Lytechinus pictus: one gene and its partners. The protein of the gene in region 1 purifies or fractionates together with the protein of each later gene. This does not show direct contact. Links are inferred from orthologs where the notes say so. Each region holds a gene or a part of one and is shown on either strand. Other genes may lie near its edges. The genes, in order: catenin beta, enkurin-like, ras GTPase-activating-like protein IQGAP1 and parafibromin-like.

Region 1 (7,567 bases):
GGGGGTGATCAAAATGGTGGATTGTATTAACTGATCATATCAAATGCACATTAATGTCATTATTTATTTAACTTCATCAACTGGGGGGGGGGGGACTCAAATAATTTTTTGATGGGGTGTACCGTACCTCACGAAACTCTGAAATGGGGGTCTAACTAAGCCTAATGTTAGGAATTGACTAAAAGGGTAGAATACGGGGTCTTGGGAACTTGAGATACTGCAAAGTGTGAAAAACAGTCTATGGTCATGGAACGGGATCGCGGCAGGCACTGTGCACTGCAGTGTAGGTACGTTGCACCATAGCGCTTAAAAAAAGGAAAAGTTCCGTCTCGTTCCGTTCGTTCTCCTGTCAAAATTGAAAACAAAATGGCCGATCGATACTGAGAACGAACGCGACAGAGGTGTAACTTTTCCTTTTTTTGAGGGTCCAGTTTGTGCCTTGATGTGCCGGGGCTGGGCTGCTTCTGAACTTAAAGAATAAAGGGGAATCCAGCCTTTTCCATAAAATGTTGTGTTGGGAAGGAGAAAAATAAATCAAACAAAATGGTGAACGTTTGAAAGAAATCCGACAAGCAATAAGAAAATTATAGCTGCTTTAAAACTGAGATCACTAATACTATGTAGATTTCAAATTGGCAACTGGGTAAGTAAATGATGACAAGGGGCAAGGACAACTTTCCCATAGGCCATGTACTTAATTATCAGGGATTTGTGGTTTTCTCCTAAGTACCCATTCCCCTGGGGCAGTAATAAACCCAGGTTGCATATTGTTTCATGTCCTCATAAAAGAAAAATATAATTTGAAATAAAACTTTTGGGGAAAATGACATTTTAGCCAAGTATTGGAGTACATGGAAGAGTAGTCCTTGCCTTACATCACTGTGACATCTCATATGCAGCCAATTTTACAACTTTTTAAATTTTTATAACTTTCTTGTTGTTTGTCCAATGTTCAAACTTTCACCTATCAACTTGTCTGATTTTTCTTTTTTTTATAAAAACAAGTTTTTATTTGGGTTGGATTCCCCTTGAACTTTTGTCATTTGGAGTCTAGAGAATTGAAAATTGGGTCTGAAAAAGGGGGTCATCAAAGGGGCACATCCCCGTACCACCATTATTTGTGAGTGCCCCCTCCCCCCCTCTCGGGCTTCAACCACGCCAAAACCTAGTAGGCCTACCTCACTGATATGTGTACTGTGTAACTTTAGACTCCACTATTCACTAACCCTCCGGCCTCCGCTACACCTGACCTAGCTAGGCTACCCGAACCATTGGGCGATAAATAGAAAAAGGCAACACGTCATGTAAAAAAGAGACATTAAGCATACTCTACAGTGTCTAAACTTACTATCGGACACAGACTCATTCCTTGCCCTTTCTTGTAAACGTCTCAAAATCAGTGATATGAAGCCGGTTCGCAGTACACCACACATATTAATTCACCGTCAAATCCAAAATGGCGAACTCGAATTGCGCACGGCCCGTGCAATAAATTATCAATTATTAGTTGTACCTTTAAAAATTGATTAGTTTTTACACTTGCGTAGGAACAAAAACACTTTAGATTTTTGCTCTGTAGTGGGTCTGCACATATAATGTAAAGATTGGCTTCATGTTAATTGGTTTTGGAGCTGTTGATAATGTTTTTAATTGCTCTTCGACAAGCTTGTGTCCCAGGGTTGGAAATAATTTTTATTTTTAGGGGCCATTTTCCCCCACATTGGAGATGATTGCTGAATTTTTCAAGGCTATTTCTTTCATTTCAAGGGCTACATACATATACTTAGACAAGCAACTATGCTGTAAAAAGCAGTGTGCTGTATTTTATAAAATTGATTTCTTAACTTTCTTAGATTGCTTTGAGCAGATCTTGGGGTGACTTTAGAAAAGACTATCACCCAAACATTCAATTTGGGGAAATTTATGGGCATTTTTTTTTTGCTATCCAGAGAGCGAATCCACCCATCGCCCTGGTGTATTTTCTGTGTTGTCCTGTGCACCAATTGCTTCATAGATCTTCCCTAGCTCTACATGTACATGTAGCTGAGTATGGATTTAAAGATGCCAGTTGTAACCATTTCAAAATGAGTTGGTACAGAATCCTATAAAATGACCACCCAAGTGTCTTTTTGTACTGAATAAAAAATTAGGTGCCAAAGGATTCTTAAGAAATTGTGTAATTGCTGCAAAATAAGAATGACATTTCACCAAATTGTCGGGTCTTTCCATGTGTACTCATCTGTGTTGGCGAACTTCAGTGTGATTATTTTCAGCTTCAATTTCGTGATTTCACAAAGTTCAGCTTATATAAATGTACCAGGAGGCCGTTTCATAAAGCTGTTCGTAAGTTGAGAGGGACTTTAAGAACTACTGGTGAACCTTTCTTACGCACTAAACCATCGCCAATTCATTAAATTTACCATTTACAACAAAAAAAGATCACCAGTCGTTTTTAAAGTCGCTCTTAACTCAGGAACAGCTTTATGAAACACCCACCCGATCTGGGGCCATTTCATAAAGGACTTGCAACTGTTGTAACTTTGCCATAATGGCAACTACCATGGTAACATGGCTCAGCAGCCAATCAGAATCAAAGTTTCCATGGTAGTTGCCATAATGGCAAAGTTACAACAGTTGCAAGTCTTTATGAAACGGGGCCCCAGTACATGTATCTACATGTGTAGGATGATTGATATGGTACATGTACATGTATGATATGGCCTGGTTTTACACTTACTCATGAAATGAGCGTTTTCTGCAACTTCTTTCATTTAGCTTTAAATCTGTTAAAAAGTAGAAAGAAACATCCATATTTCTTAATTTTTCCTGTTGAATGAGGTACATGGATACGTTTGGTTATAATGTCAGTCTCAGAGATGTCTAAAATTATGGCCAACTCGTAAAGGCTTTTTGAGACCTTGATATAGAATAGACGGACATGTACATGTGTCTCGTTGGAAGCACCCACATCTTGTGTCCAACTGTTAATCCATACCCTCTTCAGTTTCTTGTTTCAATTCATTCTTTAAATAAGTGTTTGGTACCGCAAAATCGTAATATAGCCTTCAAAACGGACATACTGAAGCTTTTCGACATGCACGCATCAGAGTAAAATCGCATGAAATGACTAAAACGCTAGAGCAAAACAATATGTAATAGAACCGAAATAGACAATGTACGCTGAATGGCGAGCCGTGATTGGCTGTCAAGGTAAACAATTTAGGCTTAGTACTAGCCGTAAATTTAAATTCATTCTTTGCTGTAGGGGTTAGGCTAACATTAGGTTAGGCCTTTGGTAATGAATATATGGTAAAACTTGAGAAAAAAAAATACCAGTACTTGATCTTGTATGATAACGATATTGAAGTGCCCTTGATCTTTCCTTGGAAAAACTTAAACAAGCAGTTTTTGTTCAACTTGCTGTCATTTCTTTATTTGTGCATCAATCATGTTCATACTTGGTACATGCATGTATGAACCTTGGGTAATACCACATGTGAGCCCATGAGAAAAATGGGGGTCAAAATCAAAGGTCATCTAGTGGTCAAAAGGTTAAACGTTATGATATGTCTATCCTTGTATTTTCAAGTGTTTGTTCAACTTGCTCTCATTTCTTTATTTATGCATCAATCATGTTCATACTTATATGTATAACACATGAACCTTGGGTAACACCACATGTGAGCTTATTAGAATGATGGGGATCATGAGGGTCAAAGGTCATCTAGTGGTCAAAAGGTCAAATGGTACATGTATGTGTATCCTTTAATTTTCAAGATTTTGTTCAACTTTCTTTATTTCTGCATCAATTTTGTTTACACTTGGTACAAATAATAATTGGGTAATAGGGGGGGGGGTAATACCACATGCATTCTAATGAGCATGATAAGCTCAAATGTCATCTAGGGGTCAAAAGATCATATTGCATATTTCATTGATCGCGAAATCGGGTGATACTAGTGAACCACCTTGTTATTTTGTTTCATCGTCAGATTGGGCACATTTTGAATTAAAGGATTAGGAAAGTTTGTCCTCTGTATCAATTACTATATGACACTGGATAGAATCATATTGCTCTTGTCGCATACAATAAGTCATATGTAATTGGAATGCACTTCCGGTAATCTTGTACAACAAGGCAAAGACTAGAGTGAAGATTTTCTCCTTCATGGAAATGGGTAAATGACTTGCTGTGCACCCAATAGGTGAGCAAGCAGAGTAAATGGGTTTTTATAATTGTAGTCTATTATTCAGTCATCTGTTGTTATTTGTTGCATTTTTATTTGTGAATATATAGAATACCGGGAAAATACAATAAACTACATTTAGGTCGGCCTGTAGTGTGCACAGTGGATGTGACTGTATAAAGTGTGAGACCTATAAGATGTAGGTCCACATGTAGAAACTCGAAGCCCTTAAATAATGAACAACTTTATGTCTGAATATTTATTCAATGGAAGACTATGTTTATTGTGGCTTCTCTGTGTGTGGGAGTAGCAGTGGCTTTGTGTGTTTGTATAGCATTGGTATTCATTCCAGTGGAATGCCAAATACAGAGTGTGTGTCATGGGAGATAGGAGGGTGTACAGTATGTACATGGACCTGCTGTTTATCTCAACACCCTTGCCTCCTTCACACACATGCACTATTGCACTGGCAATTGGAGAGGATGCACTTTGTTTGTTTCTGTAGGACTTCCAAGTGCATTTCGCATGAGCATAATGATGCTGAGTGCTGAGATTGATGTGGGTTACAAATGAATTTATATCCTACATAGAGTAAATCCTGTATAGTGATTGGTTCAAGTAGCATCATGTGACCGAATATATTTCAACTATGATGTTGCGTGACGTCAGACCTCGATATATTTTTGGATATACCAATATTCTGACGTCATTATTTCACAAAACTGGATATCTCGGCGCACCGGCTTGCGCGCTCTCTCTCTCCCGGGCGCGCAAGTCCAGCGCGATGCGTCAGCGCAGACACTAATCTGCGTTCCGCTGGGCGCGGTGGCTCGGAAAAAAGTAGGTAATTCAACAGGACTTTGCATGCTCAGCGCATAGATTTTGGTTATAAATTATTAAAAGTAGGATATAAAGCAAATATATCAGGCGTTTCATTCGAAAGCATAGTGGGAATATTAATCCTCGGTTGGACTGGCAAAACTACTATATTTCCCTCGGGGCTTCGCCCCTCGGGAAAAAATAGTAATTGCCAGACCAACCTCGGATAAATAATTCCACTATACTTTCTCAAAGCCCGATATATTTGTTTAATGGATTCATGATCATGCAATATACATATCAGAGTACATGCAGGATTGACTGTTTGCTCTTACTAATAGAGATGCATAAAAAAATGTAGGCCTATGATGCAGTTATGCATTGAATTTTTAAATGGCAGTGTGATTCAATTTTATGTCATTTGTTTTTATCTAGGCCTACATGTACATGTAGGGTCAGTGATTTTCCGTTTCAAAAATGGCCTTGTTCGTTTCAGAAATTCTTACATTCCGTTTCTTTCAGCATGTTTGAAAACGGAAATGCTGTTCCCCCATAGACTTTGTATACATGAAAAAGTGATAATTCCATTTACATAGAACGTCAATACGCATTGAGTAGCGATGTCACAACACTCGTGCTGGTCAAAATTTGTATCTGCCACTGTACTAACGCATTAGAATCTTATCATACCTATACAGGTGCACAAAATATTTTGACAAACACATTTAACATTACCTTTCACATTATTAGCATTATTTTGCAGTTGAATTAAATTTTATTAATATATAATTTGGGGATTTTTTTTGACATCGTTTTGAGCAGTCAATGATTTTCGCCTAAAAGCCATTTTGGATTTCAAGAGATATTGTTCTGTTACCGAACTTAGAGAGCAGCAACATACAGCCGTATTGCTGCCTTCTACATGTATATGTTGGTTATAATCAAACAATGTGCGCATTTATGTGAATGTTTTCGATACGGCCCAGGCCGTCCGGCGGGGGCTGGGGCGAGGGGTATACGTTGGAGTCGAAAACAGTCACGATGTGTGGATTGTGGTGATTGTAGCGAAGTGAGATCGTTTTCAATTTTATGGGGTTTTGTGGCCAGTTAATATTCATATTGTGTTGAGATTTTGGAGTAATTTATTTGCACTGTTCTGTGCATTTTGAGAAAAAATATGTTTTCCATGATTTTCCATTTGAAAAGCCACTTTTTGTTTGAAAAGGTCTTTTCCGTGAATTTGGTTCGTTTTCCGCGATCGCGGTAAATCTCTGTCCCTATCTATTAACATGTAGATGGAGGTCTAATTGTCTTCAACAAAAATGTGATGTACATGAGGCTTACATGTATTCACATACATACATGTTGCTTGTAGGCCTACAGTATCAAATGAAATTCATCATGAGTGGTTAGTGGCAACAAGTACATGTAGGCCTATAGCATTGGCCCTAATAAGAACAACAGATGCAAATTTCAATATTTTCCTGGTTTAGATTTGCATGAAAAAAAATGTTTAAAATATGATTAAGCCTACATGTAAATGAAATACACAAAATGAGAGGTATTTAGCCTTTAGGCTATTATATTCCTTTTTTGTTTCTTTAATGTTGAAGTGAAATTGATGCCCCCCCCCCCTACATGTATACATGTACATGTATGCGCATGAAAAACACAATGCTAAAAAGATGAGAAACATTTGTGGCTTACATTTCAAAATAAGAGACAGTGATAACGAAGTACTGTAAGCATTGTGGGTGAGAAGTTCAAGCCAAACGTCAGCATGGAATATCTAGTATGTGAGTAAGATGACCCTGGGTGGTTTCAGACCGCCTCGAAGTTCGCCAGTTCCAGGTATTCTCTGATCGGGAAATTTACCCCGATCAGAAAATACCAGGTATTTTGGCGGTGTGAAAGCAAACTACGCGTAATATCCCCGAAAGAAAATACCCGATAAATAGTAGGTACTTGGCGAAATTACGAGAACTTTCGCGGGGATTTTTCCAAGGTCGTGGGTATTTTGGCGGTCTGAAAGCAAATTACGGGAACTTTTAGCCCAGCGTGTCGTTGGGTGCGGCGCCGTGCATGGGTTGCTCCTGGGCTAGTGATTTTGAATTTCGCGCCTTGCTGCTTATCAGACCATACTGCGCATGCTCGTAACTTCAGGAACTTATCCCGAAGGGTATGTTTCAGGGCGGTGTGAATGCAGGAATAATTAATGGGTATTTTTCAGCCTAAAAAAGTTCTCGTAATTTAACGGGGATTCTTGTGATCGAGGCGGTTTGAAACCACCTCCTGTCAAATTTTCTCAGATGATCACTAGTACTTGCCCAGACAGTGACATGTACATGTAGTCTGTTTCAATCAAACTTCCATCTTTGTCTGTGTGGAATATGCTAAAATGGGTTGTACATCAGTACACCAGCACGCATTACTGTGGATTTTAATCAGTTTCTTATGAATGTCTAGTTTCTTTTTACAGCTGGGAAGGAGATTGACTCTCTTTGAAATTCTTACTTTAATTTTTATTTAAACTACATGTACATGTACTTTGTAATTCATAT
Region 2 (7,369 bases), on another chromosome or scaffold:
CAGAATTAAGATAATAACATGTTAAAATTATACTATTTACATATTAAAAATGAAGAAAAAAAATCAGAATTTACTATTACCAATAAATAAGATATATAGACAATAATAAGATATATACAAGAATATAACGAAGAAGAAGAAGGAGAAGGAAGAGGAGGAACAGAAGAAGAGAGGGGACGAGGAGTAGAAGGAGACGGAAGAAACTGATAACGAAGGGAAATAAATGAGGAGAAGAACAACAAGAAGAGGAGAATAGGAAGAGATAAAAGAAATAGAAAGAATAGAAGAAAGGACATATCGAAGCTTCAATCAAACTATGTAAAATACATAATAATACCTAGTAGAGAAGAGAAAAGAACTACGTCAGTATTCAGGCTAAATCAACCGTACAACATATTATTTGCATCTTCTTTTTGACTCTCAAGTGAAAGATATTCTTTCAATTTCCTCTTAAAATGCAAAAAGTTTCCTATTTCCTTTATATCATTGGGAAGGGAATTCCAATGTTTTATAAGCATTGTAATAAAATGAGTTACCAAACGGGCATTCGCCTTTTTTACGATTGATTCTACTAAAGATGAAAATGAAAGGGAGCTAGTCAACTCAATGCCTAAATACTTTACAGATTCTTTTCTATGAATTATCTTATTGTTGTATGATACTTCAAATTCAAATGAAGTTTTATGATTACTTTTAAAACAAAACAGAATGCTTTCGGTTTTGCCTAAGTGTAACGATAATCTATTATCAGTCATCCAATCGACACATGTAGACAGCTGTTCGCTAAGTTTTTCCTCAACAAATTTTGGATTGGCATTTGAACAAAGTAGTACGCTATCATCTGCATACAATAATAATTTACAGTCAGCTTTTAAACAAATAGACATGTCATTGATATAAGTTGAAAATAGGATTGGGCCTAAAATACTTCCCTGTGGAACTCCACACGTTATAGGCATAATTTTGGAACAAATATCGCGAATAGCCACTACTTGATGTCGATTCGACAAGTAGGATTTGAACCATGCTACAGTAGCCTGGTTAAAACCCATTATTTGTATTTTTTTCAATAAGATGCCGTGATTAACTGTATCAAATGCTTTTTGAAGATCTAGGAGTACAATCCCAACGAATTGTCCCTTAGACATATTTGTTCTCAGATAATCAGTCAAGTGAATAAGGCATGTCTCAGTCGAAAAGTCATGTCGAAAACCTGACTGATATTCGTAAATCATATCATTTTCTTTAAAATATTTTTCGATCTGAACACATACCGCCTTTTCTAGAATTTTGGATACTATGCTTAAAACACTGATAGGTCTATAGTTTTCAACATCAGTTATATCTTTCTTCTTATGAATAGGAGTTACTTTTGCAATTTCCATATCCTCTGGGAAAGTGTTAGTAAAGATAGATAGATTTATTAAGAAATTTGATGGTTTGTACAAACTCTTTGCTCCTTCTTTTAGAAATTGAGCAGGTATCAAATCTAACCCAGTGCTTTTTGATACATGTAATTTACGCAACTCATTAAAATGAATTGATCACTAACAGGTAATAATTCAAATTTATCTTGGCTTATACCTTTTTTTTCATAAAATTTACGAATGTTTTCACTGTCTGCACTGAAAATGTCTTTGCAAGATGGACGTTTATCTACCAACGTAGCTGCGACATTTGTAAAATAGGAATTGAATTCATTGGAAATAGTTATCTTATCATGACATAATTCTCCGTCAATTGAAACGACTAATTCTTGGTCCTTTCTATTTTTCTTTTTTAATCCCAAACTTTTTAGATTCTGCCAAAGTCTTTTAGAATCATTTGTATTTTCTTCTATTTTATTTTGTAGGTATTCTAATTTGGCCTTTTTCACCTCTCTTTGAACCATATTTATTAATTTCTTGTATCTTTTGGAAAGCGTGTCATAATCCTGATCGCTTAGATTTTTCTTCATTTTTTTATACGCCACATTTCTTTCTTGAATAAGAGAAATAATATCTTTAGTCATCCAGTTTTCTGATCTTTGTTTAATTCTAATCCGTTTTTGAGGCGCTATCATATTCAACGTTGAAATAAAAGTATTTTGAAAAACTGACCAAGCCTTATTTACGTCAGTGCATTGGGTTAAATCTGACCAATCAACGGCAGACAGTTTAAGATTGAAAGATTCTTCGCTATATTTTTTCAACGATCTGATATCAGTGGTTCTGTGAACACCTATAGCCAGCCTAATTTTATTTCGTGTACAGAAAGTAAAAGAATGGTCACTTATACCAAGATCAATAACACCAATTTGACTTATTTTTTGTTCGTTATTACAAATCACATGGTCCAATAAAGAAGAACATGTGTGAGTGACACGGGTTGCATCTTTGATGAGTTGGCTAAATCCATGAAGACTCAATAAGTCAGTATATTTTTTAGCCAGAGGAGATTTCTGAAAAAGACAAACATTCATATCGCCTAAAAGTATAATTGAAAGATCGATGTCCGTGTTGAAATATGTTTTGTATACTGACTTCAAAACTTGATATTTTATTCTCTATATCAGGCTTTTGAGAAAGATATGTATTGTTTGAACAGGCAATGCGAGCGCGAAGCGCGAGCGAAAATTTTATATAGTGACATGAAAGACTTTTATTTTTATTTTACAAGTCTTCTCCTCATCTTATTTTATTCACTCGTCCTCCTCCTCTTATTTTTCTTTTCTTTATCATCTCTTTACCCTTCTTTTCCCCTCTTTTTTTCTTTCTTTCCCCCTTCTTTTTTTGCTCCGCCAATAGGGGGATGGGGCCGGGCCTCCTGGATCCGCCTATGAGTTTAAGAAATGTTTTCTTTATGAGGAACAATTTTGCGAATTTTATCTGAGATTTAGATCTAAAAAGAGGGACATTCTGCTCCTTTTGTTTTCATATCTTCCTAAAAGTAAAAAAAATCAATGATGCGAGCCCGGATATTAATATCCCGATCTGAAAAATGTCATTTTAAGCATGCTTTTAAGTAAAGATTATGCTGTGTATCTCAATGAACAATTCAACTGACCTGAAAGGGGGACGTTTCAGAACTGTATTGGAATTCATGAAAGAGATCTTACTGATCAAAATAATATGAGCGCGTATTTATAGCTGCGAGCTGAAGGTAAGATAATCAGCACTTTTTGTAATCATGAAGAGGAGGCATATCTCGCTAAATCAAATTAATTAAAACTCGAAATAGGAGCTGAATAATTTTTAAAAAATTGAGGCCCATGGCGTATATATAGACACCGGATCTTGGTGCACCCCCTTCCCTCCACCAAAATGTTCCACGGATCATGGGGAAACACTAAATAGGAAGGAAAAAGGAAAAATGGAAAGGGTCATAATATTATTATGATATTTGTCAAAATGAATAAAAAATAACATTTTCATTTTCAGGTCAACTTTTTCCCTTGCTCGCTCATTTTTCTTTTTAAACATGTCAAATAGAAATTTTGCCTCATAAGCTTTGTTCTGCCCGGTCAAATATTTTGACTCATTGGGGCCTGCAACCATCGGAAGGATGTAGAAGATAAAAAAAGTTTAGGTTTAACTTGATTTTTATTTGATTTGATTTGATTTATTTATTTATACCAACAATATTCTATTTAAAGGTTATAATGAAACAAATAGCATAAAATTTACACATAATGTACGTAATAAAGAAGGACAAAGCAGAAATGAACGTGAAATGAAAAAAATAGGGGAAAATTGTGAAAATACTATAGGGGGAAGGGAAATGAATAAAGGCAATGATTGTGGGGACAGGGACTCAAAATCTGTTTTATTGCATTTTCACCCCCCCCCCCAAAAAAAAAAAAATAAATAAATAAAAAATAAAAAAAAATATGCTGGAATAAAATAATATGTAAACACCCTTTCAGATGCTCTAATTTAGTATTATTATTATCTTTAACAGAAGCAAACAGATGGGGGCTTGGGGTGCCTGCCCCTCTCAATCTCTCTCCCCCCCCCCAAAAAAAAAAAAGAATTACGACCAAGAAAAAAAAAGAGAAAAGCAAAGAAAAGCAAAGATAAAAAGGTGAAATATTAGGCCTACGTTTTATTTTCTAGATGATGTCCAAATTTAGGTAAAGAAACAATGAAGAAAAATACGAGTACCGCGGTTCATGATAAGTCTGCAAGCACAGCAGGTCTGGAGTAAAGACTTAAACGCCAAATGCTCTGTCTGTGTAGAGCCAGCCACAGGACAAAGTGAATCTAGTCTTACTACTACAGACCCTACATTATGCACCAATTGCGAAAACCAAGGGTCTGTGCTGCAGACTAGCTCATGATGTCGTCTTCCCAATGAGGGCGTTCGCTGTTTAGCCACCGTCGCTCATAGCAACGTGACGTAGGGCTTGACAACGTTATGATCGCTGTATGTGTTTTGTGTGTAGCATAGGTCGTACGTGTATTGCGAATTGCCAGTGCAAAACACGGAATTAACATAAACAGCGAATGCGAAGTCAACAGCAATCCTGCGAGGACAGTGTCGAAAACAGCACATAAAACTCATTTTTGTCACACTTTGCCTATATCTCTGCAGCAAGATGAATACCATGTATGGCCCAGAAGAGAGTATCTATGATCTCATCCCTGGAGAGGAGGTCAAGGAAGTAAAACAAACCCAGTAAGTCGTTCAAACTCAGTAAAAAAATGAGATCTTGACTTGACAGTCGACTCTTGAGAAGATGAGTGTTGTGTATCTTGTATGGGTGGAGTGTGGCATGTCTGATGAAAATGGATACCCCGGTAGTCTTGAGGACTCCATGCCATGATGATGTCTTTTTAAAAAACTTTGACATATACTTCCAATGATGAAGAAGTATATGTCAAAGTTTTTTAAAAAGACATCATCATGGAGTCCTCAAGACTAGAAAATGGAAGTCTTATTTAACTTAAAAAACATTTTTTCTTCAATGTTAAATTCATTGTGATTGTAAGTGCAAGTTGAGGGAGAACGAGAGGGTGAATCTTTGTTTGGTTTCATTAAAAAAAAATCATCCTAACCCTGTCTCGCATGTCACCGCTACGCTAACTTAGTCTTCGTGATGGGGGACCTAACTTTACTTTAGGCCTACGTAAATTTAAGTTACACACTTTGTAAAAAGTTTGGAAAAGAGTTCGGCGCTAGTGTAGTTTCGCACCTCCCCGTTTAATGGTTTTTAAACATGTACAATCTCACCCTAAATAATTCACAACCTAAAATACTTGCATCTGAGCCTCCAAAGTCCAGTAGAAGTTGAATATTTGCCGTTTTGACACTTTTTTTTTTACAAAGTTTTACACCTATTTCGGAATCGCTTGAAGCTCAGCGCTGCACATAAGCAGTCGGTACGCGTACAGTACGTACCACCTAGTGAAGTGCTTCTTCTTCTTCTTCTTATGTTGGTTTGAGTGGCGATTAGTCATATTTGACTATTGTCGCCATTGACTCTATTAATAAAAAATCTCACTTCTCACATAATGATATTATGTGCAAGAAGAGCGAGTTTTTCTATGGTATCTTCAAAAGGATTTTTTTCCCCTCTTTCAGCTTGCACCAAGTATTACGGTAGTGCCAGTGGTTGTGCAGAGTGGTTGATGTTTGTTGTGTGAAGGTGTGTGTGGGGTGTGCGTGTGTGTGCTTGTTTGAATGAAATAAGAAATGTGAAAAATGTGAATACACGTAGATTTAGCGATGAAATAGAAATAATAATGTAGAGCCTTGTTTTGAACTCTTGGTCAGAGAACTTTCCTTCAGTTTACAATTATATGCTATGTTGATTGTATGCTATGTTGATTTCATGCTAGTAGATTACATTTTTTAATTTTTCACACGCCGTACCATCTCCATCCATACCACCTGGGACATGCAATGTACATTTCATCCTCAAAAAAACCACTCTGCACAACCACTACCGTAATACTTGGTGCAAGCTGAAAGAGGGGAAAAATCTTTTTGAAGATACCATAGAAAAACTCGCTCTTCTTGCACGTCTTTCGGATGGTGACGTTAAAGGTCGGTCCCAGACGTAAATAATCACATCTGATTGATACACGTCTGACAAAACTCAAATACACACACACACTTCACTAGGTGGTACCACTGAACTAGAAATACGTATTTCTAGTTCAGTGGGTGGTACGTACTGTACGCGTACCGACTGCTTATGTGCAGCGCTGAGCTTCAAGCGATTCCGAAATAGGTGTAAAACTTTGTAAAAAAAAGTGTCAAAACGGCAAATATTCAACTTCTACTGGACTTTGGAGGCTCAGATGCAAGTATTTTAGGTTGTGAATTATTTAGGGTGAGATTGTACATGTTTGAAAACCATTAAACGGGGAGGTGCGAAACTACACTAGCGCCGTTCCTCTTGCAACAGCAACCCAAAATAACATAAGATTGTTGAGACTTCTGGTTCATTCACTTCCTATTTCTCTATCGTTTTTTTGTTTTTGTTTCTTACCTTACTTAAGCTCACGTTGCGATTCATTGCACTGGCGCAGTCAAGATTCTTCCTGGCTATGCGCTGATAGTGATACCAAAAGGGGTTTTCTAGCGATCATAAGCCGATACTTCATTATTTTAAATTTTTGGGGTGCCTGTCGCAAAGGAACTCTTCCCCAAATGATCTTTCACTAATTTGTGACAAATATTCTACAGATCCTTAACCAAGAAGAAAATACCACAAAACTCGTTAAATCCCACCGTGTTTTTCGAACACCTCTTGATTTTGCTGCCTGAAGTAGAAGGGGTCCTACTCTTAAAGAGTAAAGCTACTTGATTTATCATGCACAAAAATAGTATTTCCTGTGCCCCAATTTCTAAAATATTTTCATATTATAGGAAAATATGAAATTAAAATGAATATGATTTTAAATTCCAAAGAATTTCTCTGCATTTACTTAGTGAGCGGTATAGTCTATAGGAATCATTTGTCACTCAGTTCCACAACACATTTTGCCATTCTTTTGCAAGAAGTTATTAAATATTTGCTCATTTTTTTTAATTTTTGCACACTTAGGGGTCTATAAGAATATTATTGAGCTTTATCAACTAAAAAATGTTTGTAATTTTAAAGAAGTTCATGTTCAATTGTAAACTTGTTTTTTTTAGGTGCACAAAGTGCTATTGATTGATTGATGTAGCATTTTACACAAAAAGTTTCAAAGCGCTGTTATATATAAAAAAAAGAAAAATAACATGAGAATTAATTTTTTTTTGTATTACAGGTACACGTCTAAATTTCGAGGAAATGTGAAGGTCGAAACAAAGTCAAACAAGGCATCCAACAAGACGATGGGACCGGCCAAAGTAGAGCTCAAGAAACCAGAAGAATTCCACAAGAAGCACTCCAAGG
Region 3 (7,709 bases), on another chromosome or scaffold:
GGTGACTCTAGAAAGAATGGTCGCCCCAAAGCATTTTTAAGGGAATTTTAGGGGCGATTACAGCAGTTATGAGGACAAAATCGCCCGTCGCCCTCATCTATTCCTTTTGCTGTTAAGGATTTACTTTTAAATCTCAAAACATTGAAATTAAAATCTATTAGCTATATTCAAATCCACAAGATTTAAAAATAGATCTAATATTTGGCCGATCACTATTCACAGCTGATCCAGATTTATTTTTAAATCCTTGGAATTTAGAGTGTATGAGTCAATAAACTTTTGATCAAACCCGAATTAAAATAAATACTAAATATTAGTAGAAAATTTGCTTCATCAAATCAATACTGGTAAAATATTGTACTTGTAAGCTCCTCACTAAACTAGTACAAATGTAAACATTACTATGAATTTACAAATTATATATTTTCCCTCATTTATTGATGGAAAATAATTATGCCAAGGCTTCAGTCACAACAATGAGTAGCCTGCTCAGGCACCGCTGGAATCTAGACAAGATATTTGTAGAAGTCTAGCGAGCTGTAGGTTAATACCTATTATATACTCAAGGCCAAATGTGGGTCAAATCAGGGGAACTTTTCTGTTTGGTGTCCAAGCAGTGATCAGCTGATGACCCACTGATTCCCGGGTAGTCTCCCACCGGCCACCGGCCTATTTTTAAGTAATCGCCCAGCCGATCTTGAATTCGCCGCGAGATCATCGACCGATCTCTGAGCGGCCAGTGGCCGGAGACCAGCCAGTGACCTTCAACAGTCTTTGATCCAACAAGTTCAATGCCTAAATCATTCGATGTTGACCGCTCGATTACGTTGGCACCCAGACAGCGACCACCCGCGCACCGAGCGTATTCAAGGCAGTGAGTGATAAAAGAACAGGTGCCTCCAGAATTTTAACTCCGTGCTTAATAATCTTTAGCGACGACTGAGCGATGCCAAAAAAAACCAGTGGTGCCCAGACGGCCGCCGCTCTGTGCCCAGGCGAAATTGGCTAAAAACTCACCGAACAGGCTAATTTGAGGGGGTGTGACCGTAGCCTAAAGTAGAGGGTTCAATCCAGGAATATGGACCATGCGAAATGTACATCTTCCAACTTTATTAAAAAAAAAACACTTGGGGCCTGAGATTACTTTACTTACCAAAATGGCCAGAAAAGGACTATAAAAAAATCCTCATAAACAAGCCCACTGCACAAAAGGGCCCCCCTCATTTCTTAATGTTCCAGTTTAAATGTTCAACACTATCAAAAGAGCTACGAAGGTCATTATCAACTATGTATGATCTGCCATAATATCATGATTAGAATAAATGTACCCCAACAGATATGGCATTAGTTTGTCTGAGGTACACCCAGCATTACAGGTAAGGGTGTGATTTATTCACGGACTAATTTTTTACAACCCAGTTTGAATGTTGAGACTGAAATGCAATTAAATAGGCAATGGCTCACTGCCAAAAACCCAGACTTCAAAGGAGAAGTTCAAATTTACAGCGTTGATCAGAGTCAATGAAAAAAGTAGGGAGGAGCAAGTTATTCTACTCACTCAAACCATGGACCTATTGTAGGTCCATGCTCAAACAAGCTGAACCCCCGAGGGGGGGGGGGGCTAAATTCCCCAAAATTTTTATGATCAATCCATAGTGAAAAGCTTGCAATTAATTGATTCATGACTTTTTTCTTTCAAGTCTTACCTAGTTTTTTAGACAAAACTTGCAACCCCCGGATACGCAGTTCAAAAATTTCTTATTTATACATTATTTTAAAAATATCAAATTTCAATACTTCCATGTCTACTTTTCAATAGTAATGCAAAGTTTAGTTGTAACCTCTTTCTCCAAAACTAATTACAATGTACCTCACACATCCATCAACTGAATTTATTTTTTCCTAATCTGAATGTAGTTCCCCTTTTTAAAAGCACTCTCCTTACTATGAACAGATAAATTATAAAGTGCATTCGTGATCAAGTATTTGTTTTCGTTTTGAAACTTCTCAAATTAAAAACCAGCACTGGGAATTAGATTAATTTCTAATTTAAGAACAACTTAACCATTATCTTCATCGAATTTCTAATAACTGATTATTTTTCCCAAACGATTAGACCTCAGATCATTAACACTTGAAGACTATTATGTAGCAGGATATAATAATAGCATACTTCTTTAACCAAGGAAATGCCATTCAGAGTAAAGTGAATCGTATAACAATGGCACACTTGAGAGCAAAAATTTGTTATTCTCCATGTAACGACAGAAAGATAAAGACACTGCACTTTACAGATATAAACATATACATATCATTAACAACAATGGATGCGTATAATCTTGGTATCATGAATAAAAGCCATGTCTTGCCTTTTCAAGCACAAGATTGAATTATATTGTTCTGCTTCTTAGCTGCTTATTTGTTAATGTTTTATTTCAAATGTTAATCTTGTATTTCATTTTTTATTATTTGAATTGAATTGGGAATATCAAAATAGTAATAACTGAGTGTCATGTACTTCCAATTATGAATACATGCGATATACAAGTGGCCATTATCACCATCATCACCATCATCATCATCATCATCATCATCACCATCATCATCACCATCCCCATCATCAGCATCAGAATCACCATCACCATCATCATCATCAATTCATCATCACCATCATCATCATCATAACCACCATCATCACCATCATTATCACCATCATCACCACTATCATCATCATCATCATCATCTTCATCATCATCATCATCATCATCATCATTTTCATCATCATCATCATCACCATCGTCGTCTTCATCATCATCATCATCATCATCATTTTCATCATCATCATCAATATTTTATCAAATAATATATCTTGAAAAATGAAAGTATTTGTAATCTACTCACTCTTTATAATAAATGAATTAAAAATATTTACCGATGGTAATCCAACAACCTCCATCGCTCTGATCCACTGCACTGTGTTATCCGTGTGTCTAAAATGAAGTCCTTTGGCCTAAAAAAATAAAAATATTTAAAAACCTTACAAAAAGGTGTAAACATATAGGAAAATTCATGTGAAAAAGGAACAAGCGGAACATTATCCGGGGAGCGTTTCATAAACATTTTCTTCCGAAAAGTTGTCAGGTCTGACAACTTTCCTTGATAATGATTGGCTGAGAGGCACTGTTACCATAGTTACTGTCGGATAAAACAGTACTTGTCGGATAAAAAATCTAACAAGTCCTTTCATGAAACGCTCCCCTGATCATTGACTTTCAAGGCATAATAATATTCTTTTTTTTTTAGATTGTGAAAGAAAAAAAAACACTCTATAGACATCCGCAGCAGAAAAAAACACTTGAATTCCATTCAAATACTGTCATGTCGGTGCAAGAACACCATTAACACCATACTTTTGTACATCGCATGCGCGCAAAAACGCCCTGAGTAGCAAGCATTAGGGCATTGCGTAAGGGCGATCCTGCACCAATGGGGTGTGTGGAGATGTTTTGCTAAGGGCGTTCTTGCACCGACAGGACGATATGGCCTTCTTGGTAGTAATGAAAAAATATATATATCAATTATTGTATATGCTTCTATCAGATAAAATCCTAGAAATTATTATCTCTTACTTGTGTTCTGAACACATAATACTAATACCTAATAAAAGAGTGCTGTATAGACCTGGGTCCCGTAACACAAAGATTAGTGAATAATCGTACGCTTGATTTTCACGATTGATTGTACATTGTAGTCAACGCAATCAATCGTAGAAAAATGTTCTACGATCATTGCCAAGTTTTGTGTTACGGGCCTCAGGTGTGGGTTTCTTAAACTGTTCATAAGTTTACGAACGACTTTGAGAATGACTGATGATCCTTTCTTAGGAACTACATTAACGCCTATGAAAATCTGCTGTATTTCATTTACCACAAGAAAGGGTCACCAGTTGTACGTAAAGTCACTCGTTAGCATACGAACAGCTTCATGAAAGACCCACCTGGTTGTAGACAAACTAGAAATAGACCAAACACAAACAGTTATGATTGATCCAATCAATCGTAACTCTATGGAAATCCATGAGGGCCATAATTTTTCTACAAGAAATTTGCACAATGTCTTTTGTAAACAAAAGAGAACACACCAAATCATCAAGAAATCAATGAATTTATGGATACACATTCATATCTAGCCATTTTTTAAAACAAACATGCATTTTATAGGTTGACTTTGCTGGCTGTCCATAGTTGTGATTGATCGGATCAATCGTAACTCTTTGTAAGACGGGGCCCTGGGGGCTCTTTCATAGAGCTGGTCGTAACTTGAGAGTGACTTTAAGAACAACTGGGGATCCTTGCTTTCGGGTAAATGATATTCACCATTAAATGTTCATTGGTGATATTTAGAGCGTAAGAAAGGTTCGCCAGTCATACGAAAAGTCTCTCGTAACTTGCCAACAGCTTCATGAAACACCCATCCAGGTCCCATAATAATACCGGTTGATCAGGGACTGATTTCCATGTTTTATTGCATTGATTATTGTGCACGATCAATCACAAAAATCTGCCACAAGATCAATCGCTTAATATTTATATGTCACAGGATCCTTGACCTATTCTTTTTCTTCTGGTGGAATTAGTTCTTTACATGCGTTTCAAGGTATATATATTTTTCTCAACTGTTCCCATCCTTTTTATTTTTTATGTTGAGTATTTCTTTTAACTGTCATGGAAAATATAACAAAGGAGAAATAAGCATGCAACTTCATCTCATCTATTTATACAACTGAACAACATTTAAAAAGCGTCGGCCCATGGACCGAAAAGTATTCTAACCTTTGGGAGCAAAGGAAAGCCGCATCAGCTTCCACTTTTGTTTGTTATCGACATCCAACAGTCCTAAATTGATCCTGATTGTTTCTGATAAAATGGAATCTTACAGCCTTGGGGGACTAAATACTATATTTAGAGATCTCTTTGGGAAGTACAGGGAACGAGGGGTAACGAGTGACCGAGCAGTAGAAGATAATCCTCCAACAATATCAATAAACTTAATTGACAAACAAAACAACCTGCTTTTTTATATATTTTAATATTGGGGAAAAAAACCAACAAGTCCCAAATTGGCAAGCTTTTTAATGAGGTTACATAATTCTCCCTTTTTTTGGCTCAGGCTCCCTTCCTCATCATTATTATCATTATTGTTGTTGTTGTTGCTACCATTATTATTAATTATTATTATTATTGTTGTTATTATTATTATCAATATTATTATTAATTATTATTATTATTGTTATTATCATTATTATTATCATCATTATTATTAATATTATTATTACTACTATTATCATTATCATTATTATCATTTTCACATTATCATGAATTATCATCATCATCATTTTAATTATTACTATTGTCATCTTCATCACCATCATTATTTCCAACAATGAAAACCAGGGATTTGAACATGACATCACTTGACAGATCATCTGGTCATTAAAACGAGGCATTGCTTTTCCCAAAAATTTCATACAGCGGTTTGTCACCCAGCTTGTATTTAATATAGGATGAGAATAGCGCTAAATGAACGTGACAAATATATTTTTAGTCTACATGTAAATGCTGAGCTTTAAAAAAAAAGAGCATGAATTAAAAAACCATTTTGAAACAGGCATGATTTATTTGTTAGTTATAGAGTTGTGATGCTTCGGTTTGCCTGTGATCAAAGATCATATCTCCCTAAAGGACACATGGGGCAACAAGGAAAGTGTCTGAAGCAGCTCCTCGGAGTGCAATCACCAAGACGCAAACTACCTTCTCTGTAGTCCGTTGCCATGGAAACATCTATTTTCATCCATTTCGGCGGAAGACAAAGAATCAACAGGAAGTGAGTTTGTTGCATGGTAACTGACTTGAGAAGTCAGGTGTGTTCAACTTTCTCAGGAATCACTTGCAAATCAGATAAGACTTTCCATTTCTGGTTTGTTCCTGTATTATGCGCTGGTGTGTTCTTCTCTATTCTCCAAATTTATGAAATACATGTAGATTCCTTTCACACAATCACCAGGGAAACTTGCACGAGTAGCGGGGAGGGGGGTGGTTTACACCCCATGATTGTATAAAAATTTAATTTATGCCTTGCCAAGAAAAACTGAACGAAAGAAATTATTTAAGTGGGGGTGTCGTCGTCTAGTGGTTATGACTCTCGTCTTTCAATCAGAGGCATGTGGGTTCGTATTCCAGCCATGGCGTGTTTTCCTTCAGCAAGAAATTTACCCACATTGTGCTGCACTCGACCCAGGCAAGGTGAATGAGTTCTCGGTAGGATTTATTCCTTGACACTTTAGTGTCGAAATGGCTTCTCAGCTAAGGCCGGGGTAATAATATGATATCAAGTATCAAAGCACAGCTGAGTATATGCATACAATAAATGTGCAATATAAATGGACATATTATTATTATCATTATTATCATTGCACCAAATAATAGTCACAGGGCTCGACATTACATGTAGCAGTGGCCCGGCGCAACCAAAAATGAGAGACGGGCCACCAAACTTCTGTAAAAGCCCACAATTGGTGGCCCAAAGTTTTTGGCTACCAAAGTTTTGCTAAATTGTACTGTTTTCTATTGTTTAGGGCCACCAAATTTGCTTTGCGGGTCATCAAAAATATGAAATTGATTGGGTCACCAAGAAAAAAAAGTTGGTGTGGAGCCTAGCAATTGATCACCAAAGGGTAGATCAAAATTCAAAACCTCATCTGAATGCCTTTATTTTGGTAATGTACATGAACTTGTCAGAAGAGAAGGCATTTATAAAGCAGGTCTGTCCATCATGAAGGCATCACATTATTTCATGGTAAGGGCAGCCTCATATAGAAACAAAATTGGGTCTCCATGAAAAATTACTCCATTAAAGGGCGCATGTTTCTTTTCATAAAGACCTACAAATATAGTATAAAATTAAGTTTTGAACAAAATTAACACTTGTCACTGCTGAATGAAATAAAGGTTATCTGCCTATGTTTGTTAATCTCATGTAAGCTTATCCATGTTTCAAACAAACATTCTCTTTGATTCTCCACATAGATCTATGAAATGAATCTTCCTCAAGTTCACTGCACTTGTAAAAGCTAATCCCTCTGGTCTATCCACTGCCCTTTCAAATTAGAGCGAGAGATAAAAACAATTAACAATGACCACAAGTACTAGCCATGGCTGATGATATGTCTGGTGTGGTTCGGTATATGCCCTCAATTCACACCATCAGAATTTATTGTACACCCAAGGAATTGGCACCAGGGAATAAAAATATGCGGGGGCTCAGGGCAGTCCCCCCCCCCCCCCCGAATGCTCAAAAGAGCCCTGGAAAATTTCCATTCAATGCAATGTCATAGCTTTCCAATGCTGTAAATTTATTCAGTAGGTTGTGAAGGGTAGCCCCCCCCCCCCCCCCCCCCCCCCGAAATGAAAAAAAAAAATTCCTCCTTGGAAGAAAGTTGGTATACATACAGGTCAGGCCTTTAGGCATAAAAGTTGGTCACAAACCATGGCAGAGCATACTGTACACTTTATGTCTCAAAAAGTAAATATTAGAAAACAGAGAAATATCTTTTGCCCCAACTTGAATGCAATAAGGAGAAGATGGTATTTAATTTAATTGTTAAGAGTTCATCAGAAACTTCTCATGGTCAAGTTTGATTCCATTACATA
Region 4 (7,186 bases), on another chromosome or scaffold:
CTAGCCTCACATTTTTCCCCAATTTCATTGCATTCATTATTTTGTTTTCTCTTTCATCTACAGGAAATTTTTGTAGCCAGGAGGCTGTATCATTCGATGAAAACATCAGTTTGGATTCGACCTTACCACAGAAATGTTAGAGGCCCTATGAAGCATTGCATCCGCTCTGCCAAACTGCCTCTCACCCGAGATATTTGTAGAACTACACGATGCACTTTCTGCAGCAAGATCCAGCTAAAGTTGTGATGAACTAGCATATAATAGATTTCTTATATTCATTACATTCATCATTCCAGTTCTTAATTGATATTTCAAAAGTTTAATAAATCACTGTACATGCATTTAATATATTTCTTATATTCATATCATTCATCATTCCAGTTCTTAATTGATATTTCAAAAGTTTAATAAATCACTTTACATGCATCATATTGAGCTGTACATTGAATCTTGCCTCATAAGATCATTTGGCTTCATCTCTACATAATACCCCCCCCCCCCCAGCAATAAAAAAATGAAAATCTAATAAAACAATAGAGCTGCAGGCAGTAGCGTACCTAGGATTTTCCACAGGGGGGGGGGGGCAAAATCGTCCGCCCAAAAATTTGACAAGCAAAAAAGTCTTCAACCACAAATAAAGGATTTCGTACCAGAAAAAAAATTACAAGCAAAAAAAAGGTCTTAAACTTCAAAGGAGGGGGCCACCGGTGGCTCATCAGGGGGGGGCAGGGATATGTCCCTTACATTGGTTGTGACTCGTCGGGGGGGGGGGGCAGTCTGCCCCCCCCCCCATAGGTACGCTAGTGGCTGCAGGTCCACCCACCCATCTGTATCAACCATTACCTCCAATGAGAATACCTAATTTTAAATTTTATTGAGCAACTTCATTAATACTGTTAACATATTCAATTTATATTTTTATGTGGAGTTAATTAATGTAACCAATGCCAATAAGGAAAAAAATAAAATGAATACTTTCATGTGTCAGTGTGGATTTGTCATTTCTTTTTTAAATTTATTTTAATATTCAGATCTGTATGTGTATCCTTTTTTAACACTATGTTCCTTCTCTTCTCTACTGCATGTGCCAAATTGTTTTGTTTTTTTTGCTCATACTTCTTAAATAAATCATGAAAAAATTACATAAAGTCTAAATAAAAATATTTAAACAGACATACAAGAAAAAAAAAGTGTTAGTTTGGGATGATAGAAAATGTTAGAAGACAGTTGGGGGGGGGGGGGTGAGATAAATCAATTGTTTCTTTCTTGTCAATTTAAAAGCTGCAATTCACATTTGTGAATAATTAAGTAGTTGGTAGAACAATTCCTGCTTAAAGTTGCAGTCTGAATGGAATGCAGGATCGCCAAGAACAAAGCCCAGAGGCAGAGGTGGGGTTGGTTTTTTTAAGGCGGCATTTCCATCACGCTTTCTTGGAACCACAGATATTCGACGGCTCAGCCCAAGTCTGTTCATTGTTGGGCCCCTCGACTTCAGATCAGTAAGTATTGCCATGCTCAAATGGAGATAAGAAATTAATCTGAATGAAAATAAAATATGAAAACAAAAGAAAATTAAAATGATAATGAATTAAATTAGATCTAGGCCATTCATTTTTTAAATAATAAAAATGTAAAGTTTGATTAGGCCAAAAGAAATCATGTTACATGAATTTTCAACAGAACATAATCATCAAATAATAAATCAAGACTAAACTTAAAGTAAATTACCTAAAGTAAAGGCTAAAATTAACGTTAGGTACTTCGAGAAGATTCAGAAAGTTGTTGCGTCATTTGCCATTTTTTTTCAATATTTTATTCAATCAAAATGAATGTGTGTCAGTGTGGGATATATTTCTGATTTCTACATTTGTGTCTGGTTTTCAATTCCTAATTTATAAAAAAGAAAAAGTTTTTTTTAATCAAAGAAATACCAGACATATCACGATAGACGGTCTGCTACACAAATTCCAATGCGCAGGACTACACACCGCGGGCAACCAAAAACCCTAGCAGCCGCCATGAATTAGCCCGCGAAACGCGTCGCCAAACTTAAAAAAAAATCCCACGAAACAAATAGCAAGGGCGTTTAACGTTCGGCCGTGGCAAATGGTGGCAAGAAATGCTGCCATGAATGAGGTAAGAAATGAAAGCTTACGACTTCAATTTTCGAGTAGCATATGTATTTTTAGCGTAATATGTCTGATAATTCCATGAAAATAACATATAATGATGATTTGATGCATAAACTGTACTTACAGACTGTTTTAGTGCAATTTTTGTTCCGATCTCGATCCTCCGTCGCAAGAGCTAACCGTGCAGTATAGCTGAATGCATTGGGAAGATGATGTCATCGTTTTCATTCCCATTGATATACGTTTACCATCCTAGACAGGAGACTCAAATAGGGCTTGCAGTTATTGCTCGCACCCGCTCCCGAAGCAGCTTGTCGCCATTTTCGTACGCGAAAATGATGACGCGAAAATCGCGCCCTCTCGCGCTAGAGTAGCGTACCTACTCTAGAAGCCGCCTGGCTATGTGCATGTGCGCTCGTTGTGTACAAAGTCAATAGGATTAGGAGTGGAAAGATGTCACCACCGCTGACGAAATAAACGGCAGTGAATGGACTGGTGACATAAACCACGATAATGCCGTACAAACATGCATTACTTTTAATTTAAAAAATAAAAATCATGTGGCATATGCATTCATAATCATATGCAAGGGCAAGGCAATTAAGGGCAGTTGTTTCACACTGCAGCGCGCTGTGTTACCAACCGTGTTGTTCCAATTTGCAGAGCAGAAAGGAGGAAAAGCCGTTAACTTACCCATAGGTAACGTAGTTAGTTTTTGTGTCTTTGGGCCATGAAAATTCTCCGAAAATAACATCATCGTTTCTTTCCGTTATAACCTTATTCTGAGAGTGATAAACACGAAGTAAACTTAAAACGTCAGCCATGTCGCCGTCTCAGCCTCCCCAACCTTTCTTTCCTCAAACGTACCTCGTCACAATAAATTCAGGCACGTAAAACAAATCGCCCAAAACTCCAAGTGTGTCGCCCAGCCATGCACAAACTCGCAAACTTTGAATTCGACCGATATTATTTAAAGCAGCTCCATGCTGTGCAAACCATTCACTCGAGTTAAGGGTCTGAATATGCAGCCTACACATGCCTTGTGTACTGGCCTCTCAGGATTGAAACAGCAAGTTTTGTATGTGGTGCTAGTCTTTGCGTGGAGACACATTTGCTGATCAAAGTTTCAATCAGGGTCTGTACCTGCAGACTAGATGCAGGCGGGTGCCAACAGGCCCTACCTAATGACGATGATAATGAAGAATTGGAGATGGTGGCATGATGGTGGTGGTGGTGATGATGATGGTGATGCTGGGCCTGGAGAGAATTAATGATGCCAGTGTGTATGCAGTGGTGGTGGTGATGATAATGATAATGAGTGATGATATGGGGACATCTCTCCATGAATTTTGTACCCAAATTCCGGGATACAAATTATCAGACTTGCCCCCTTCTGAGCACAACATAATAATTCAATTTCATTCAATTCAAGGGGTAGGCCTACCTTTGGAATCCAATGTCATAATCGATTATTTTGGAAACAAACTGTAGCTTTAGAACGAGGCATCACGCAACGTGCCTAAAAATTCCATCAAACATTTATTGTCTTCCGATTTACAATCCAATTTCAGATATGATATATACAAATCAACAGTAATAAAACAATGAATGTAAATGCAATATGTACATTGATCGAACAAGGTGTAACAACCAAGAAAGCAGGTGGATGTGTCGGGATACACTTATAAAACTATGTCATCGGAAAATTTGTCACTCGAAAATATAATTCACACCATATATGCCGAGGTCAGGAGGAGATAAGAAGAAAAATGTAATACAATGGGGGAAATCTTGTCTTTTAACGGACGGAGCTCATCAAGTTGCAAAAGATCAATTGAAAAAAAAATGATTAAAAATCTATGACTAAAGCGGCACTCAGCAAAACGCATAGAATGTGAATATAATGACTTAGCTTGCAATTGCCATTTGATAATAACAACAATGAAATTTCAAACGAATATGATGAACTTGTAATTTTTCATTTGCTCAGTTTAGAACATCTGACATTGGTCCTCCAAAAGAGACTTTCGGCGTCCGTCGGTCTATTGCCCGTCCGTATACATATTATTGAAAGTAGCTTCTTATTATTGTCTAATAAAATATTTATTAAATTTGTAGTCAAATATAAAATAAATTCGAAATATTTACATCCATTTTTTTTTATAGTTAAAAAAGGTTGATTGTAGTTTTATCGAATGTTCATTATTATTTATAACGAATATTAATGTAAGAATATTTTATATGCTATGTAACTACAAGAATATTTATTAGGAGGCTGCACTCTACAAGCTCCGCCTTTTAGCAGCCACCTCCATTTCCAATAATCTTGAATATAATTTTTGTACAGGGATACTTGAAATATGTTTTTGTTATTTATATGTAAAAATATACAAAACAAACTTTAATTGTTGAAAATGGAAATAAACGAAATGAAATGAAATAAGTGTACATTTTCACATTGTTTAAATCAGGGACGTGACGTCCCTGTTTCAATCGCAACCTCTTCACAATCGATTATGAGGAAGAAATTATTAAAAATAATGTTTCTATATGCAAAATCCGGTAATATGATAAAAGTGTGGGAAAGTGAGAGATCTAGCAGTAAACCTACTACTAACTTTTATTTTGCAATTGATACGGCGTATACAGATGGGGGGGGGGGGTCTTGGGGCCATTGACCCCAAATTTTCACGGCCAAGAAAATATGGAGACAAGGAAAAGAAAAGAAGGAAAGGGGTGAAATGTATTAATTTCTGAATACTGATGTTATGCAAAGAAATCAGACAATTAGGTCTTCTCTTCATTAAAGAGGTAAAAAAAAATATTGCTCATCATCATCATCCTCATCGTAATGGTGATGAAGATGATGATGATGCCTTCCTGATAGCAATTGCAATCAGTCTCAACTTTATTACTTTGAATTTAGAAAATATATAAAGTCTGCGGATAACAATTTTATCACGTAACCCGAATTTGGATTGTATCAGTATATAAACTAGAGACGTGGAAATAATTTCCCCATCATAATCGATTATAAAGAGGAGGGAATTACCAAGGAAATAAATTGTACACTTATGACAATATCATATTATCAACATTCACGAAAAAAACCGAGTTCTTTTTCATTACGGTTAACAAAAAAAAACAGACTTAAAATGTAAATTAGTGGAATTGGTTCTTTATTTGAGTACAAATTTATATTAACAAATCGAACTCATTTTGTACTCGAGTACAAATTTATGTAAATAACTAGAATAAACAACTACTATTTATTATATATTACAAAAAATCTACCCCCTTTGGGTATTTGGACGGTTAAATACAGACAAAGAACTTCGTCTATAACGCGAATCAGAAATCACCGACAGGTGGTCCATATTACAATCAGATGTATTACATTAATACAGAATTTATGTCGCAATTGCCAAAATGGTCATTGCTTCACAGCCAATGACAATGACAATGACAATGACAATGACAATGACAATGATTTTATTTCTTTGACGGCCCCTCCTGGGGGCATAGAAGAAATATAACAACTTACAACAATGGCAATAATAGGCATAAGAAAAAAATACAAAGGTAACAAGAATCAAACATGATGATAATAAACATATGTACAATACAAGAGCAGTAATAGAAATAGAAACGGGCACAAATTAACCCACCCACTTCCGACATGCCAGAGAGTATCTGGAGACCGGTACCCCACTGAACATGTGCAGGTGCAATCCAACAAAATCTGAAATCATGCAATCCAACAAAATCTGAAATCAGCCGTTCTGGACTTATTTTATATCATTGAAATTCAAAGGAGCCAAAAGTTTGAGGGGCAAGACTAGGCGTATGGAGGCTTTCTAAACAGCAGCGAGTGAGCGAAGCCAGCGACCAATTTTTTACCTCTCTAATAATACAACAAGTGGAATGCCTCTGGCCGTCTCACCTGCATCACGCGATTCAATATAGCAGCAGTGCTGATTTTGAAAACTACTATAACTCGCACAAGATGTTCAGTGATACTTGGTTACTCTTATTTCCACGTTTTATGAACTAGACCAATACACTTATAGAGATATGATGGCAATTCAACAAATACCCCCAACGTGGCCAAAGTTCTTTGACCTTACATGACCTTTGACCTTGATCATGTGACCTGAAACTCGCACAGGATGTTCAGTGATACTTGATTACTATTATGTCCAAGTTTTATGAACTAGACCAACACACTTTCAAATTTATGGCTGTAATTCAACAAATACCCCAATTTGGCCAAAGTTCATTGACCCTAAATGACCTTTGACCTTGATCATGTGACCTGAAACTTGCACAGGATGTTTAGTAATACTTGATTACTATTATGTCCAAGTTTCATGAATCAGATCCATAAACTTTCAAAGTTATGATGGTAATTCAACAGATACCCCCAATTCGGCCAAAGTTCATTGACCCTAAATGACCTTTGACCTTGGTCATGTGATGTGAAACTCATGCAGGATGTTCAGTGATACTTGATTAACCTTATGTATAAGTTTCATGAACTAGGTCCATATACTTTCTAAGTTATGCTGTCATTTCAAAAACTTAACCTTAGGTTAAGATTTGGTGTTGATTCCCCCAACATGGTCTAAGTTCATTGACCCTAAATGACCTTTGACCTTGGTCATGTGACATGAAACTCAGGCAGGATGTTCAGTAATACTTGATTAACCTTATGGCCAAGTTTCATGAACTAGGTCCATATACTTTCTAAGTTATGCTGTCATTTCAAAAACTTAACCTCAGGTTAAGATTTGGTGTTGACGCCGCCGCCGCCGTCGCCGCCGCCGCCGTCGCCGTCGGAAAAGCGGCGCCTATAGTCTCACTCTGCTATGCAGGTGAGACAAAAATCAAATTTTAATTTTTACATGTATACCAACTGTGCCGTCTTTTACTCCTTGATCGTTTAATTAATTCTGATTTCTGAAATAATGACATCGCCTTTGTATTCATTCGAAAATGAAATATTCCGTCTTTTCGCCACCTATGCAACCATCGTCGTAATGAAGATGCTCTGG

The links.
Region 2: the proteins of catenin beta (region 1) and enkurin-like purify together in Homo sapiens (affinity purification with western blotting; 3 studies listed by BioGRID). This does not show direct contact. The link is inferred for Lytechinus pictus from reciprocal best matches to the Homo sapiens genes CTNNB1 and ENKUR.
Region 3: the proteins of catenin beta (region 1) and ras GTPase-activating-like protein IQGAP1 purify together in Homo sapiens (affinity purification with western blotting; 3 studies listed by BioGRID and IntAct, with this or other methods). This does not show direct contact. The link is inferred for Lytechinus pictus from reciprocal best matches to the Homo sapiens genes CTNNB1 and IQGAP1.
Region 4: the proteins of catenin beta (region 1) and parafibromin-like purify together in Homo sapiens (affinity purification with western blotting; 3 studies listed by BioGRID and IntAct, with this or other methods). This does not show direct contact. The link is inferred for Lytechinus pictus from reciprocal best matches to the Homo sapiens genes CTNNB1 and CDC73.

What each region holds. Positions count from the first base shown.
Region 1 is NC_087245.1:36,923,858-36,931,424, reverse strand, and holds the start of catenin beta, read left to right. Parts: upstream 1-4,548; 5' UTR 4,549-4,745; intron 4,746-7,567. UniProt on the Homo sapiens protein: Key downstream component of the canonical Wnt signaling pathway.
Region 2 is NC_087257.1:8,445,367-8,452,735, reverse strand, and holds the start of enkurin-like, read left to right. Parts: upstream 1-4,354; 5' UTR 4,355-4,576; coding exon 4,577-4,656; intron 4,657-7,241; coding exon 7,242-7,369. UniProt on the Homo sapiens protein: Adapter that functions to localize a calcium-sensitive signal transduction machinery in sperm to a calcium-permeable ion channel.
Region 3 is NC_087249.1:12,742,724-12,750,432, forward strand, and holds the start of ras GTPase-activating-like protein IQGAP1, read right to left. Parts: upstream 3,018-7,709; 5' UTR 2,957-3,017; coding exon 2,933-2,956; intron 1-2,932. UniProt on the Homo sapiens protein: Plays a crucial role in regulating the dynamics and assembly of the actin cytoskeleton.
Region 4 is NC_087259.1:23,518,369-23,525,554, reverse strand, and holds the start of parafibromin-like, read right to left. Parts: upstream 3,025-7,186; 5' UTR 2,957-3,024; coding exon 2,826-2,956; intron 1-2,825.